Linked DNA regions of Tamandua tetradactyla. The main gene of each other region encodes a partner of the protein of the gene in region 2 in a complex. Links are inferred from orthologs where the notes say so. Each region holds a gene or a part of one and is shown on either strand. Other genes may lie near its edges.

Region 1 (7,264 bases), about 15 Mb from region 2:
GGAGGGAAGGAGTGAAGGAAATCCAATGTTAAAGGATTGTCATCGGGCAGGCCATGGCGGCTCAGCGGCAGAGTTCTCGCCTGCCATGCTGGAGACCTGGGTTACACCCCAAGATTAAGGGATACTGGGGCTGTAGGTGCTGGCTGGCATTCTAAATGAGTCACATAAAAATAAGAACAATTCAGGCACTTTTTTTAAAGGGCTGTAATGGTTTCCCACCTTCCCACACCCAATGGTCAGATGCCCAGACTCACCCCACTTTGACGAGTCTCTGCTGGGAAGGAGGGATTAGGGGGCTCCAGCACCTCCTTTTCTGTCATCCTGCAAGAGGTTGGACCCCACTATGAACTCTAATCCCTAACTGCCATTCTTTCCTTCCTTATTCCTGTCCTTAGCAGTAGGGTTGTCCTTGAAGAAGAGGCCTCAGAAGAAATCTGCTTAGAGATTCTTTCCTAGGGCTTATGAACAGAAAGACTCCATGGAGATCCAGACAGACGAAAGAATTTTCCAACCTGTTCCTTAAACCGATATCCAACCTTCTACCCTGAGGGGCAGCCCCAGAGTTTATAGCCTCAACACAGTGCTCAAAGCTACATGGTTTGGGAATTTTCCTACAGGCACTTTCTTTTGGGAGGTTGTGGGCAAGAGAGATTTGACATGCCTTCCTGGGCCCCTTCTCTTCAAGAGGTTTCATGCCTGCATCCACATGCATGCATGGAGGAATGGGCTGGAGACATTTGTTCCCTCCTACCTCCTCCTTTAAGCCCTGGGGGCCTCTCGCCTAGTTGATCTCAGCCTGCCACAGGCCTTAGCTATTTTAAGTTTTCAAAGTAATATGAGCCTTTCCCTCCCTATTGCTCCATCCCCTTGGCCCAACCCCCACTCCCCAACCTGCCACCGCCTCCCCCAATCCTAGCTCTCTTCCTGGAGTAAGGTAATAACTTCACTCCTAAAATACTTGGAGATAAGTAGAAATGAAGAAGATGAATAGACTAAGGATTGGGACAGCTGGGGTGAGCAGTCCTAGAAATGGAAAGAGGATGAAGAGGCAACTTACGTTTGGGATTCCCTAAGTCAGCCTGAGGAGGGAAGTAGGAGCCCCTGGGGCCTTGGTGGTGGTGCTGGGGGGAGGATCGGTCCTCTTCCCTGGGGGCTGAGCCCCCCCAGTACCCTCTGTACTCACACCGGCTACCAGTTGGTATATGTAGACCTCCTAGCCTCTCCCTTTGGTGTCAGAGTTGAAATGACAGGGCTGGAGGAAAGTGGACAGCTGAGCAACACAGCTGACACAGAGAAATTGGACACGGGGAGGACTGGGGCAGGGCTGTACCCTAGCCCTCCCGTCCCCCAAAGCTCCCGTTTCCTGATTCTTCATCTATGGTGGGCAGGCCAGTAGTAAATTCAGTAAGGAATGGTTTTGGTTCAGGCTGTACACCCATTTGAATGGATTTTGGAGGACTAAAGGTGAAGTAAAGATAAATTATAAAACATTTCTCCATCCCTTACCTCCAAGGTTCAAAAACTTCCCCAATTCTGCCCTCTCTGTACCTACTTTAAGGACTACAGACTTCAGCCTCTCAGCCTTTATCTTCTTGTGACTTATGTGTTTGTATAACCTCAAGCATCAATCTAACCTTAAACTTGAGGATGGAAAGGACTGGGGACTGGTGAAGATAGGAAAGCGCTCTCCTATCAACCAGACTAGAATGTTTTATTAACTGTGGGTTTAAGAGGGGTGGCCTTGCTTCTGTCCTGTAAAGGAGTGAGGAATCTGTATTACTGCTTGTTCCCTTGATCTTTCCACACATCTCCAAATCTTGTCCTCAGGATAGTGAATTGTAAGGGCTTAAGACTTCCATCTGAGAGATTTTGCGGGAGTGAGGGCCTAATGACCAGGTAGAGATAGTTCAGTTAACACTGGCCAGAAGCTTACAGCTGCTGCATAGGGAATTTTTATCATCTGTAAATAATGTTCCTTTCCTCAGGAGAACTGCAAATTCTTGCAGGTAGGATGGTTGAACTTCACACTTCCTAAATAATTTTCATTCCTTGATGCACCTCCTTCCTGTGATGCCCAAGTATATGAACTGATGGATCAGTACGATAGCTTGCATTCTTTTCTCACAGGGATGCAGCTTTCTGCTATTCTTTGGGTTGTGACATGGCTGGAAAAAGATAACCCCCATCTCAGAGGAGAGCAATTTAGACATGGTAATGTAGTGCTGCACTATCCCTTGTGTCTGTTAAGAAATAAAGGATTAGGTTGGAGGTAGGGTCAGACAAGCTTCAGAGCTTGGCTAGAGATACAGTCACCCAGATCCAACATTTTCCAGGGCAATATGCTCTGCCGTTTCTACCCACTGCTCTTTTTCCTAAGGGGGTGGGGTGAGATTGAAAGGGGGCCACTGGATGGCAGGGTTCTATTGGTTTGACTCTACAGGCTCCTTAATGGGCCCTGTTTAACAGGCTGCAGAAAAACAGGGCTAACTTTGAGATGCCTCAGATATAGAAAACGTCCATCTTGCAGGCAGGTGACCTCTGCTTTTCTTGAACTTTCTTCATCTGCAAAGGACAGGGACAGCTGAGTATGCCTGCATAAATCTAGCATCTTGGCACAGTAAGTTCAGATAATATAGCTTTTATTGTAAAACACCCACTTCCATTCTTGCCAAGTAGAGCTCAATCCTCTAGTTTTAGGATTAAAGAAAGGCCCATCGCTTGAAGGTTTTCAGAAGACTAGATGATGGGCTTTGAGATCAGCATTTCAACCCATTTCTAGACCTTATTCCTCCCTAGCTCAGCCACAAGGGCCCTAAATGAATACCACGGAATTAACAGGCTGACAAGAACCTTGGAGGTCACCTAGTCAGTCCAAGTCTCTTATTTTATTAATAAGGACACAGAGATCCAGAGTTGAGAAGGTGATGTGCTTGATGAACCACAGTTAGTGGCAGAATTGGAAAAACCCAGAACCACCCATCAGAATTATGGGCAGGAAGGAGGATCGGAGAGAGGGAATGGTGCTAGGAAGATAAATGTGCATATGCTAGGGGAAATCCATCCCAACCCACAACAAACCCTCCCAACCCCCACCCACACCAGGGCGGCAACACAGAAACGAGGACTGATGTCCAGTGACAGAAGATTTTTTTTTATATTTAAAAACAAAATCAACCTCCCCCCAAGTAACCCCCCCACAAACAAAAAACCAGATTAAATAAAATTTACAGTGAATATACCCAGCAAACATCTGTATGTGCAATTAAATACTGTGTCTGTTACTGCGGCACAAACTTCAAACAATATACAAGTGTTCTGGGGGGTGAGGGGGGCCCAAGTTTTAACTCTGTGGGGTTTGGGAGACAAGATGAGGGAAGTGAGAGGAAGGAGAAATCAATATTGTTTTTCTTAATTCTGCCCATATAAATATATTCGTAACGACCAAAAAATAAAAGGGAGCTTAGGATAGTAAGGAAATAGAATACGGGATTGTGGACCTTCCCAATTCTACCTGGCCAAAGAATATGAAAAAAATTAATTTTGTGGTGGGAAGAGAGATAAAAAATGATAGAAGAGGATGGGAAGGAGAGGGAAGCAGAGAGGAGCCAAGTGGGACAGAAAAGGGATGACGGCAGGGGAGTGAGGAGTCCAGTGCCAGTGTGAGTGTTTGCTTCCACGTTTATTCTTACTGTCTTAGGTTCCAGTTCAGCGTCTGTCTCCCTGTTTTCTACCTGTCAGTGGTCTATCTGGATCCCTCGACCCTCTTTCACCTCGTCCCCACCCCTACTGTGCCAGTCCTTTTCCCTCCTTCACTTATTGGGAGCTGGCTCGCTCCAGGATCCTCAGGTCATAGTTCTTTTTGGCCACTCGAAGTTTGAAGCGACTCACGGAGTTGTTGAGGCGAAGGGAGGCATTCTGGGCAGCCAGGGGGCTGGGGAACACAGCCACTATGGTGTACAAGGCAGCGAGGTCCGCATGGCGGCCGTTCTCAGCAGTCCCACCGTTGTCCCCTCCGCCCCCGCCAGGCAGCCCCTGAGCATCCTTGAGCCACTGGATCTTGGCGCCAGACAGGGCGAGCTGAGTGAAGAGTTTGTCAGCCTCGGTGCGGGTGATGCCCTCAGGGAGATCTGTCACCTCCAGCACCCGCCCCAGGACTGGAAGGGGAGGAGAGAGAATATAGTGGTAAGAGCCGAAGATGGGGAGTGGCAGGGGGGTGGAGAACTGGTCAGTGGCAAGGGAGAGAAGTATCCAACTGACAAGTCTGTATACAAGGTCCTCAAAAACCTAGCCATTCCCTCTTTGCTATCTTCTCCCCTCTCCAAATCAACCCAATTCCCCACCATCCAGACTCTGATTAGGGCAACTAGGAGAAAAAGATGAACCTTTCTCTTGGCATAGCCTAGAAATGTAGGCAAAAAGGAAGGTCTGGGAATCAGAATCCCAGGTTGATGGTCTGGGGACCTATAAATCAGTTCTCTCACAGGGTACCATTGCTATAAAGGAAGGGTGGGTTTTGCTGATGTGCTTTAACAAAATCAATGAATCAATCTCAAGTATGTCCACAGTTCCCTTCCTACTCAGAGGCTGGCCCAAATAAAATCTTCTTTCTTATCATCTAGGGAAGTTAATTTCCTTTTTTCTTTCCTTGTTTATCAAACTGTTCCAACTGGGGGAAATCCTGAGAGATCTTGTATGGCTAGTGTGGAATGCCTGCAGGAGGAGGATTACTCCCCCACAATCTCTGAGACTCCTCCTAAATACTACCAAAGGTAGAGGTCTTATATTCAGGTGAGGCCTGCTCCCAGAAGACTCTCAGCTAACAGACTCAGTGACTCCATTACTGTGTTATTTCCAATTTTTACCACTATCTTCCCAAGAATCTGGGATGGTTTGGTAGGGAAGACTGAGACATTCCACTTTTCCCTCTTCTCCCTGCTCTTGAGCACAAATGGTTCCCACTTTCATTTTCCACCCTAAGCTGGCTTTTCCCTCCCATCCTTGGCTGGTAACGCAGGCTTGTGGTAGGCACCTTCTTACAGGGATTTAGGATTTTATCACTCACCAACATCTGCTGTCCCCAGGTCAGTGGAAGCAGATTTGAGTGCTTGTCTCTTGCCCCGGCTTCCATGCTTCAATCCACTCTGTCCCTTCAACAATCAAAAGACTATTCTCATTTTGGATTAACAACACTAACTGCCTTCTATTGCAACTCCTGCCTGAGAGATTGAGTAATAGCACCCAGTCCTGAGGATCACACCTTTCCAGGCAATCAGATGCCCAGGCATGGTCACTGAGAAGCAGAGAGCCCCTCCCTCTTGGCATTGGGGTGGGTGGAAGAAATGAGTACAGGAGTGGGGTAAGGCCTTCAGCCCCTCCCACTTATTCCATTTTCCCTGTGTTGTTTCCATTGTCTTCTGAACTGGAAAAGGTGGATGGCTCAGAGATAGGGGACCAGATGAGAGTAGATGAGAGTGTATGAGAGAGAGAGAGAGAGAGTGAGTGAGTGAGTGAGTGAGTGAGTGAGTGTGTGTGTGTGTGTAGGGGGTAATCTGATGGCCTGAAGGCTACGTAGGAGGGGATGGTAGACACCCTTACCTGGTGCACTGTATAAGTCGACTGGCCATGGAGCAAGGGAGGGCAGATGGACAGATTGTACTGTAATGGCTGGCCCAAGAGGGAGTACCGCCCATCACCTAGGCAGTAAGAGCAGATGGTTTTCTGGGAGCTTGAGCTTTGTGGTATGACTTTTAGGAGACTTTGGGGATGGGATGGGGTCGGCTTTGAAAATGGATAGCAACAATACATACTATTCCTATATTTTCTGTGACAGGAGTGCCCGTGAGACTGATTTTAGAGTTGTCTCTCTTCCTAATCTTCCTGGCTCTCAGCTGTATCTTGTAGACAAATGGGGCTATTACATCCCCTCACCTTTACTTGGTAGACAAAAGCCTTGATGAAATGACCAGGGAGGAAACTAAAGACCCTTACAAATGTTTTTTATCTCATACAGATTCTCCCCACCTCAAAAGCCAGGGGTCGATCTTCTGACACATGTAAGAGCCAATACAAACGAGCATTTTTAACTTTTTAAACCATAGTCTCATCTTGTTTTTATACTGCATGTGACAGCCAGGTCAGAAAGCAGTTAAGATTCCTATCTTATGTGTGATGAACCCCATCTTATAGATCAGGAAACTGAGGTTTTTTTCCAAGTTAAAGTAACACATCCAGCATCACAAAGCTAGTGAGTTAGTGGTGGAACGAATACTTGAACCCAAGTCTTTCAACCCAAATCTTGTGTTCCCTCTTCTAAAATTCTACTGTGTTTGACACAACCCCACTTTTCTAGCCTTCAGACTCAGTACTGACTGGTTAAACTCTTGGGTTCACTAGAAAGTTCAATGAATTTCTTCCCCTTAGCCCACAGTACCAGTCACCTACTTGGTGATTCCAACTAAGTACATAAAGGAATATGGGCAGCACTAGAAAGAGGTGGGTGTTCTTGACTTAAACAGGGACGTTACAGTTTTTAGAGGTTCCCTGATACAAAGGAAGAACTAGCTCCCAGAAAAGGCTGAATTTTACAGCAGTCAGCCCTGATCTCTCATCCCTTACCCTGTGCTGGACCTCCAGGCCGAGGGAACTGTGTGAGGACAGGTAGAGGACTGAGTCCTGTGCAGACACTGCTGAGGCTGGTGACAGGTGAGGGTGCTGGGGATTGGGTAGGGGACGTGACGGGGCTGCTGCTCATTTGTGTGTTGGCCTGTGGAAGAGAGTAGCACCCATCACATAAACATCAAAAACAAATACTCCTTATGCTTGGCTTAAAATTCCCCCTCTTCACGAAATAAGTCTTTATTGCTGAACTCTGACAAACCAGACTGCTACTTAAAATTGCCCCCTTATTCCCTACATAATTAATTTATATTATTTTAACGCCTACATTTGGACACACCATTTTAAGTATTCTCTGGGCATTTTCAAGTATGTATCCTATCTGCTACCTTAGATCTGAGGTTCCCTGAAAGAGGACGTATTCTTCCATTTCTTGTGTTTTCTCCCCTAAAAGTGCCCAGGGGAAGATTTGTAAAAGAGGCTGTTCAGTCAATGGTAAAGACTGTTTCTTAGGAAGAATTTAGCCACCTCCTTGCCTAAACAGGGCTGGGCTGTAGGACTCACCTGAGGGTTACTGTCAGGATTGTACAGGTCTCCAGGCTTCTGGCCCCGCTGGTCCACGCTGTAATATTTACAGTGACTCCACTGG
Region 2 (7,108 bases):
CAGGGGAGATCAGGCCCTGGAGAAGGGCCAGGCTTGTGCCAGGCAACCCAGCCAAAGAGTCAGACCCTGGGGACGCAGGGGGAGGGTCTCTAGTAAGCAAAGCAAAGAGAGTCTCTGAATCCTGCCCATACGAAGGGCAATGAGGGTGTATTTGGAGAACCCCAGAGCTCATCTTCAGGGCTATGAGGGAGATACACAAATGAAAAAGGGAAGCTGGACCCTGGGACAAGAGACCTGAAGTCAGGATATCTGAGTTTCTCCTCAGTCTAGGGAGAAAGGAATGTTGTTTTCTACTTTAGTTTCCCTTCTTTACGGGCAGAAGACTGAAATGATGCTTCCCTCAATTCTAAGTACAGGTGGCAAACAAGGTAGGAGTCTAGATAAGCTGTTCGTGTGTGTGTGTAGGGGAAGAAACTTTAGTCCAGTGTCCAGAATGTTCTCAGACCGAGGAATATTTCCCCAAGTTCTCTGTGCATAAGTACCTCGCAAGAGGCAGCAGAGACCAGATTCTCAGTGGGAACACATACCTACTGTCCACTTGGCCTCTGCCCCAGTCGTCTCTTGGGCAGGAGGGCTTGTCAGCTTGGTCTTAGCCTAGGTCCTAGAGCTTAAGCTATAGATAACATCTGTGGTAGACCAAACGCATGAAGATAGCACAAGGGGGGGAAAGTCTTAATTTTACAGAGGAGTTGAGTCTGTCTGCTCTTTCTCATTTCTCATGAGAGTAAAATAAGGCTTGCTTGGCAGCAGGAAGGAGAGGCTGATCCCCAGGAAGGATCTATGCATTGTCAGTAGGAGGGACGTCTTTCCCAGGGGTCTGAGTATAAAAGAGATACCTCTGCAGGATACGGCTGTGTGAAGTAGATAGGGGCTGATAGGCTCGGAGACAGGAGGAAAGGCAGGATAAATTAATATCAGGTACCTCTTAGATGCCTAGCACTGAGCTGGGAGAGGAGTCTAACCTTTACTCCCTGTCCTCTAGGCTGTCAACCTAATAGTAATCTTAATGTCCCCGCCTGGGACATCAGGGTTACCTGGCCTCCCATCTAGGATGGGAATGACAGGATCTCTCCTTAAATATTAAATAAGCTGTGCTCAGAATGGAACCCCCTCTTCATTACTCCCAAGTCCTCAGGGCTCACTCATCTCTGATGCTCTGGCGTCACTGAGGGAGGCCAAGACTCCTCTTCCAAGTACACTGTGGGGTCTTGTCTCCCCCATCTCCTGCTTTGCCAAAACAGTCACAGGCTCAGTACTTTGGAGCTGCCAGGAGTTGGCACAGAGCCCTGGTGGTGCCCCCCTTGCCTGGTGAGTGTGTGGGCAGGCTGCAGCTCCACTCTTGCCTGGCACGGGGGAAGGCGAGGAGGGAGATGAGCCGGTAGATTTATTTCGAGTCTGATCTCCCTCCTACTTCTTCAGAGGGGGCCTCAGGGAGAGCAGGGAGCCAGGCAAGAGAAAGGGAAGTGGGGGCAGGGGATCTAGGAACCAGAAAGGGGCAGGAAGGGAGCAATAGGTTTTCACACAGCCTTCAAACGCCATCCACCTTGCAACAGCTCCTTCCTTCTCTCTCTAGGGATGTGAAGAACCTCCCGGCTCCCCTCCAGCCCCACAGAAAGGTCCCTTTTTCAAGCTCCCCTTGGCACCCTGGGCCATGCCAGCTGTCCCTTCATTTTTCAGACACGGGCCTTGAAAATGATGTGCTCTAGCTGCTAGGTAATTAGCCCCAGAGGCCCAATGGGGAACTAGGCCCAGCCGGAGCCCAATCCCAGAAAAGGACTGACAGCCTCCTATTCTGAGCCCTAGCACTCATCTATCCTGAGCCTGGCATCAAGAGATAGGAAAGAGCTTGAATACACTTCATTTTTAGACCCAGTAGTGTTGGTAACCATACAGTTCTACCCTTCACAACAATCAGGGGGTCCCTTCTAAGACATCTATCTGGTGGTCCTCTTCCAAGGAGACCTTCTTTCAGGTTTAAGGGAAGGTTGATAACTCCAGGAGTCTGAAAAGCTGCTCCCCATCCATGCCCCCTCTTTCTAGATCCTGTCCCTGATCTCTGAGCTCCGGGAATCACTGCCTAATGAACTGCCTTGTCTCAGTGGGTCAGGAGATAAAAGCAAAGAGGAGAATTAAATATTTATTAGTTGCCTGGTTCTCTGAGCAAAGAGCTTCCTCTCCAACCTCAGGCCTTCGGCTTCTCTGGCCTCACCTCCGGGCCCTCCATGCTGAGCAGGGATTCAGGGTGCCTACTGCTAATGAGGAAGCCTCAGCAGGGAGCTGTGGAATGGATCCAGCTTGGTCAACCAGCCCACCTATGTAGTGGGTGCCTGGATTTCAACCTTGGTCAGAAGCTGGGCTACAGAAGTGTGAGGAGATAAGGCAATGCGCAGACATGGAGGGCAGGAAGGGATAATGGAGGTTCTCAAGTTTTATGATCCCTCTTTATGAAAAGGCTAGGACCAGACTCCTTGATGTTCTCCCAGGCTCCCTTATTTTTTGCTGACTTGGGGCACTGGTCTGGAATGTCCCCCTCCTCAAGAGCCCCAGCTCCTCCTGTAGCTGTTGTGTTTAGATCCCATAAATCCTCCTCTTCGAACTCTAGACATTGCGTCGGCCCTCTCTAAAGCATCTGTGCCATTTATCTCCACTCCTCCATTCCTTCCTCCCTCCACTCCTCCCGTTCTATGCTTGAGAGCCACCTGCCCAAGCCTTTTCCCCAAACTGCCCCCTACTTGCTCGCATCCGATGGCCCTTGGTCTAGGACTAGGGCACTGGGGAGCCCCCGGCATGAAATTCCACCTCCCCACTTTCCTACAGCGCCCCCACCGTTGCCCTGCCACTGAGGCTTTTTTTTTTTTTTTTTCAAAGTCCTGAACTGGGGGAAGGGTCCAAAGGAGAGGAGGTGCCATCCCAACTCCCCACCCCCACCCTCACCGTGGGCACTCACCGCCTCCGAGTCCTCAAACCCGGGCACGTAGGAGTCGTCATACATGGGGGAGTCCGGGTGGGGGGAAGCGAGCGGCGCCGGGGCGGGAGCGGCCGGGACGCAGGGGCGAAGGCAGCGGCCGCGCCCGAGAGATGCCACCGAGCCCCGCAGCCCGGCGGGCGGCGGCGGCGGCGGCGGCGGCGGCAGCGGCGAGCGAGAGAGCGCGAAGCAGGCAGCGAGTCGCGAAGACCAGCTGCTCCCAGCTCAAATCACCGCTCCCCCTACTCCTCCCCCCCAACCCCGCTGGTCCCACCCCAGGAGCGGCTGAGGAATCTGGCGCCGGCTCCTACAACAATAGTGCCCGCCCACCTGCCTCCCCTCCCCGGGAGAAGGCGGGGTAGGCGGTGGGGGACGCTGGCCACTGGGGGAGCTCTGGACTGGGCCGGGAGAGGGTAGTAGACCGGAGCTGGGTAGAAGGTGGGTCCCCAAGCACCTATGGGGCAGAGGGGGAGGCGGGGAGGAGGGGGAGGAAAGGGAGGAGAGACAGCGGGTGGGGCGGATCCAGGCTTGGAGGAGGCGGGGCGAGGAGAGATGCGGAGACCCAGACGCCAGGCAACCCAGGAAATACTCCGTCGGGAAACAAAGGGCTGGAGCGGGGGAGGGGAGGGGACACCGAGACTGGGAGGGAGACGAGACTCGAGCTGAGAAAGGAGAGGGCGCAGGTTACCGGGAGTCAGGAGAGAAAAAGAAGGGATAAAAGCAGAGGGAGGAAGCGGGGAGACAGGGAAATGGGGAGACTGAGGAAAACAGAAGAGGCGTGGGGGAGGGACAGCTGCAGACGGGGGAGGGGCCCCAGGTGAGAGGGCGGTGTGTCTGGGCCCTGGCAGTCCTGGAGACTCCAAAAGCAAACCTCTCAATGGAATTGGTGAGAAATGAGTTTGGTGACGGAAGTCAACGCCATGAAAGCAGCCCCTATCCCAACAGGTGCCCACCCCCCTCAGTCCAGAGATGCTTCAGCAAAGGGTTGTGTTGCCCAACCCCGTACTGAGGGTAAGGGGCGGGGTGGGGGGTGGGTGTGTGGGGGGGTGGGATGAGATGGTGGTGGTGGTAGTGGTGATGATGTTTCCTGAGCTGGGGTTAGGCTGGCAGATTTCATTTTAGTCTAGCAGGGATGGAGGTTCCCTTCCTCACTTCCCTGACAAGGACTGTGCCAGCTCCTCGGGAACTGGAGCTGGGAGAGGCTGTCTTAGCTGAGCCTCAAGGGAGGGGGGAAGAAACAAGTGGATGGAGGTAGGGGGGTTATTTTGGGTAGGAGAGAAAATAGGGTCCTGGCCACACTGGAGTTGGAAGGGAGAAAAGGCATGTCTCCCCAGAGTCACTGGCACTGGCGTAAGACTAGATTCTCTCCTTAGCAAAGATGAGGGCTAGGTATTCAGATTCCATGTACCACTCTGCACCAGTCAGTCTCCTCCAGAGGAGCCCCAAGATTAGAGACAGAGCCATGGCCTTATCTTGAAGAAATTTCTCCAAAGATGCCCCCATTGAGCTCCCTCCTTTCTTCATCTCCTGAGCAAAGTTAGTTCTCTAAATTTTGATTAATGGTCTAGACTGCCTACCCACCAACCTGCCCAGCCCACTCCCCTCAGGGGGATGACAGAAGTAGACAAGGGGTTACACACTTGGTGAGAGGTCTTAGGCCTCCTAGTGTCTGGACCTTTGTCCCTGAGCTTGATTTTTCTCTATTCCCAGTTTTTCACACCTCACTATGAGGGTGAGATAAGAAAATGGGGGTGTGAGAGCCTCTATAAACTAAAAATCCCTGCCCAATTGTAGGGAGTTATTGTTATCACTTTAATAACCATTTAGTGATGCTTCTTTCCCTCTCAATAATGTGTTGAAGGAAGATGAACAGGAAGGGAAGAGTTTAGAATAGGGACCTCTCTGTCCATGAGCAGAGGGTGGGGAATGGGGGAGGGATAGTGGGAAGGGTATATGGTATAGTAGCTAAAAGATGTTTGGAAGTTAAGATACTTGCATATTAATTTTGGCTCTGCCACTAAAAAACTATGTGATCCCAGTCAAGTTACTTATCTCTGAGACTATTTCCCGCTCCTTAAAAGAATGTTGGGCTAGACTTTCTGGGGGGTCTTTTAGCATTGAGACTTGGAGTCTAGGAGAGGGACCACCAAATGTTCCTTACCCATCTCTGCTCACTAATTTATTCCTTCCACAAACATTTATAGAACATCTTGCTCTAAATAATTCCCAGTCTCTTCCTGTTTCAGGGCTAGAGGAGACTCAGGAAACCAAAACTTGACAAGGTTCATGGGCTCTTTGGTAGAAGGGCCTATGCGTGGGAGAGAAGAAGACCCTTAAACCAGTCGGCTTCCCATCTATGCTACTTGTTTGTGCTTGCTTGGCAAGGAAAAGAGAGAGAAGGGGCCTCATCTTAAAACTATTTTTAGTTTGCCTTTAGTCTGACTGTGCCTGTGGATGGTCCAAGCCCCGTCCAGCCCAGCATCCTCCTTCTGCTAGGTTTGGCAAACTGGATTTGGCTGGAGCCCCTACAGCTGAGGGGACCAGTCCCTATTGTGAATGCAGTTTGCTTTCACAGTTCCCTATCCTGAGGTTATTATATATTGGATTATTATATATAATTTGAGGTTATTATATATTTTAATATATAATATTAAATTGGGAATCCCCCAACACACTGGCTTTTCACTTCTTTGCCCTCTCCCACTTTCATAGCATTCCCTCTATCCTCCTCTTTTATTCTCTCTGCCACTTCCATTTCTTCTGTCCATTTCTTCTGGGGGCAGAGAAGAGATCTGAAGTATGAAACAATAAGACCCTTAAGGGGCTTGCTCCTAGGAGAGGATTCCAGTGAAGACAGATGCTGAGTCGGCTGCTTCACTCTCCATCCCTGAATCTAATCTGCGGGCATCTCTTTTTTGTACTCTCCCTAATCCCAGGGAGTCCTGGAGACTGCAAATAACAATGGACCTGTATCAGCAGTACGCCTTCCTCACACACCTTGTTGTCTTCATCCACATCTGGGACAATAGTGCATAAGTCTGCGCATGAGGCATGAATTGCCATGCCAACAAATCCCAGGAGATGGATTCAATCTCCTCACACCTGGCCCATCCCCTGGGTTCTCCTGGTGCTTTGGAGCCTCCCTTTCTTCTTGTTGTATCTCTGGGTTGCTACCAATGCCCTCTACCATTTGGTAGACGAATGTCTTCTCTAATTCTCAGGCCAACCTAGTGATTCCTATCTGTAGCAGGACATGTCAGTATCCCTAATCTTTTTTCTTTCTCATGGCTGGGCCTAAGGGGAGAATGCTGAGGGCAAAAAGGATCAGGGGAGGTACAATGGTGGCTCAGTGGCAGAATTCTCGCCTGCCATGTCAGAATGTCAGAGACCTGGGTTCGGTTCCTGGAGCCTGCCCATGTAAAAAAAAAAAAGGATCAGGGTCCAAGCCTTGAGGAGAGGACTCCTTCTGCCAATCTCTGCCTAGACGAGATTAGACTGGCAAGTAGCCAGGCATTGAAGCAGGACAGAGGGGGCAAAGTCTGAGTAACCAGGTTTGGGAAGTAGAGTTCTTGGGTGCCTCCAGAATACATTCTAGCTTTTCTCATTGCACCAGGAAGCTGTGTAGATCCTAATCCCTGAGCCTTGAAGGGGGAAACTGAGGCAGGAGCCAACACCTCTGCAAAGTCCTCCCTCCAGGAGTCTCCAACAAGTGCATTCTAGGGGCTAAACTGACGCCAGGGAATTCCGGGTGAGGTACCAAGGAGAGTTCAGCAGAGCCCTCCCTACTCCCTCTAATCTTGCCCCTTTCCAGCTTCCCATAAATCCTCTCCTCCCTTCCCAGTTCTAATGCTTAGGAGCTGCCAGCTCTGGCTTCTCCCTTCTACGGGTTGCCTTCCACCCTTGGTCTGGCTTCCTCTGGTCTCCCTCCCCTACCACCCATTAGGGAGGGGGCCCGCGTTTACCTCGTTCAGCAGGAAGGTTGCACTGGAGTCAGAAAAAGACATAGACCGGGCTAGTGGCCTCTCCCCCTTCCCCGGGCCCGGGGCTCCGAGGCGGGAGCAGGACCCGGCCGCCGCTCCGCACACTGGGTGCTTTCTGCACGCCTTGCCTCGCCCCACGCCGGCTCGGCTCCTCCGCCTGCTC

What was found.
Region 1: CACNB3 (region 2) and STAC3 share a complex: the UniProt entries of both Homo sapiens proteins name them as parts of the calcium channel complex. The link is inferred for Tamandua tetradactyla from reciprocal best matches to the Homo sapiens genes CACNB3 and STAC3.

What each region holds. Positions count from the first base shown.
Region 1 is NC_135333.1:124,434,047-124,441,310, forward strand, and holds the start of STAC3 (SH3 and cysteine-rich domain-containing protein 3), read right to left. Parts: upstream 3,025-7,264; 5' UTR 1,058-3,024; intron 322-1,057; 5' UTR 321-321; coding exon 255-320; intron 1-254. Other genes in the region: R3HDM2 (R3H domain-containing protein 2), read right to left, coding at 3,814-4,154, 5,063-5,147, 5,596-5,693, 6,616-6,763, 7,180-7,264. UniProt on the Homo sapiens protein: Required for normal excitation-contraction coupling in skeletal muscle and for normal muscle contraction in response to membrane depolarization. Required for normal Ca(2+) release from the sarcplasmic reticulum, which ultimately leads to muscle contraction.
Region 2 is NC_135333.1:109,718,389-109,725,496, reverse strand, and holds the start of CACNB3 (voltage-dependent L-type calcium channel subunit beta-3), read right to left. Parts: upstream 3,019-7,108; 5' UTR 2,993-3,018; coding exon 2,948-2,992; intron 1-2,947. UniProt on the Homo sapiens protein: Regulatory subunit of the voltage-gated calcium channel that gives rise to L-type calcium currents. Increases CACNA1B peak calcium current and shifts the voltage dependencies of channel activation and inactivation.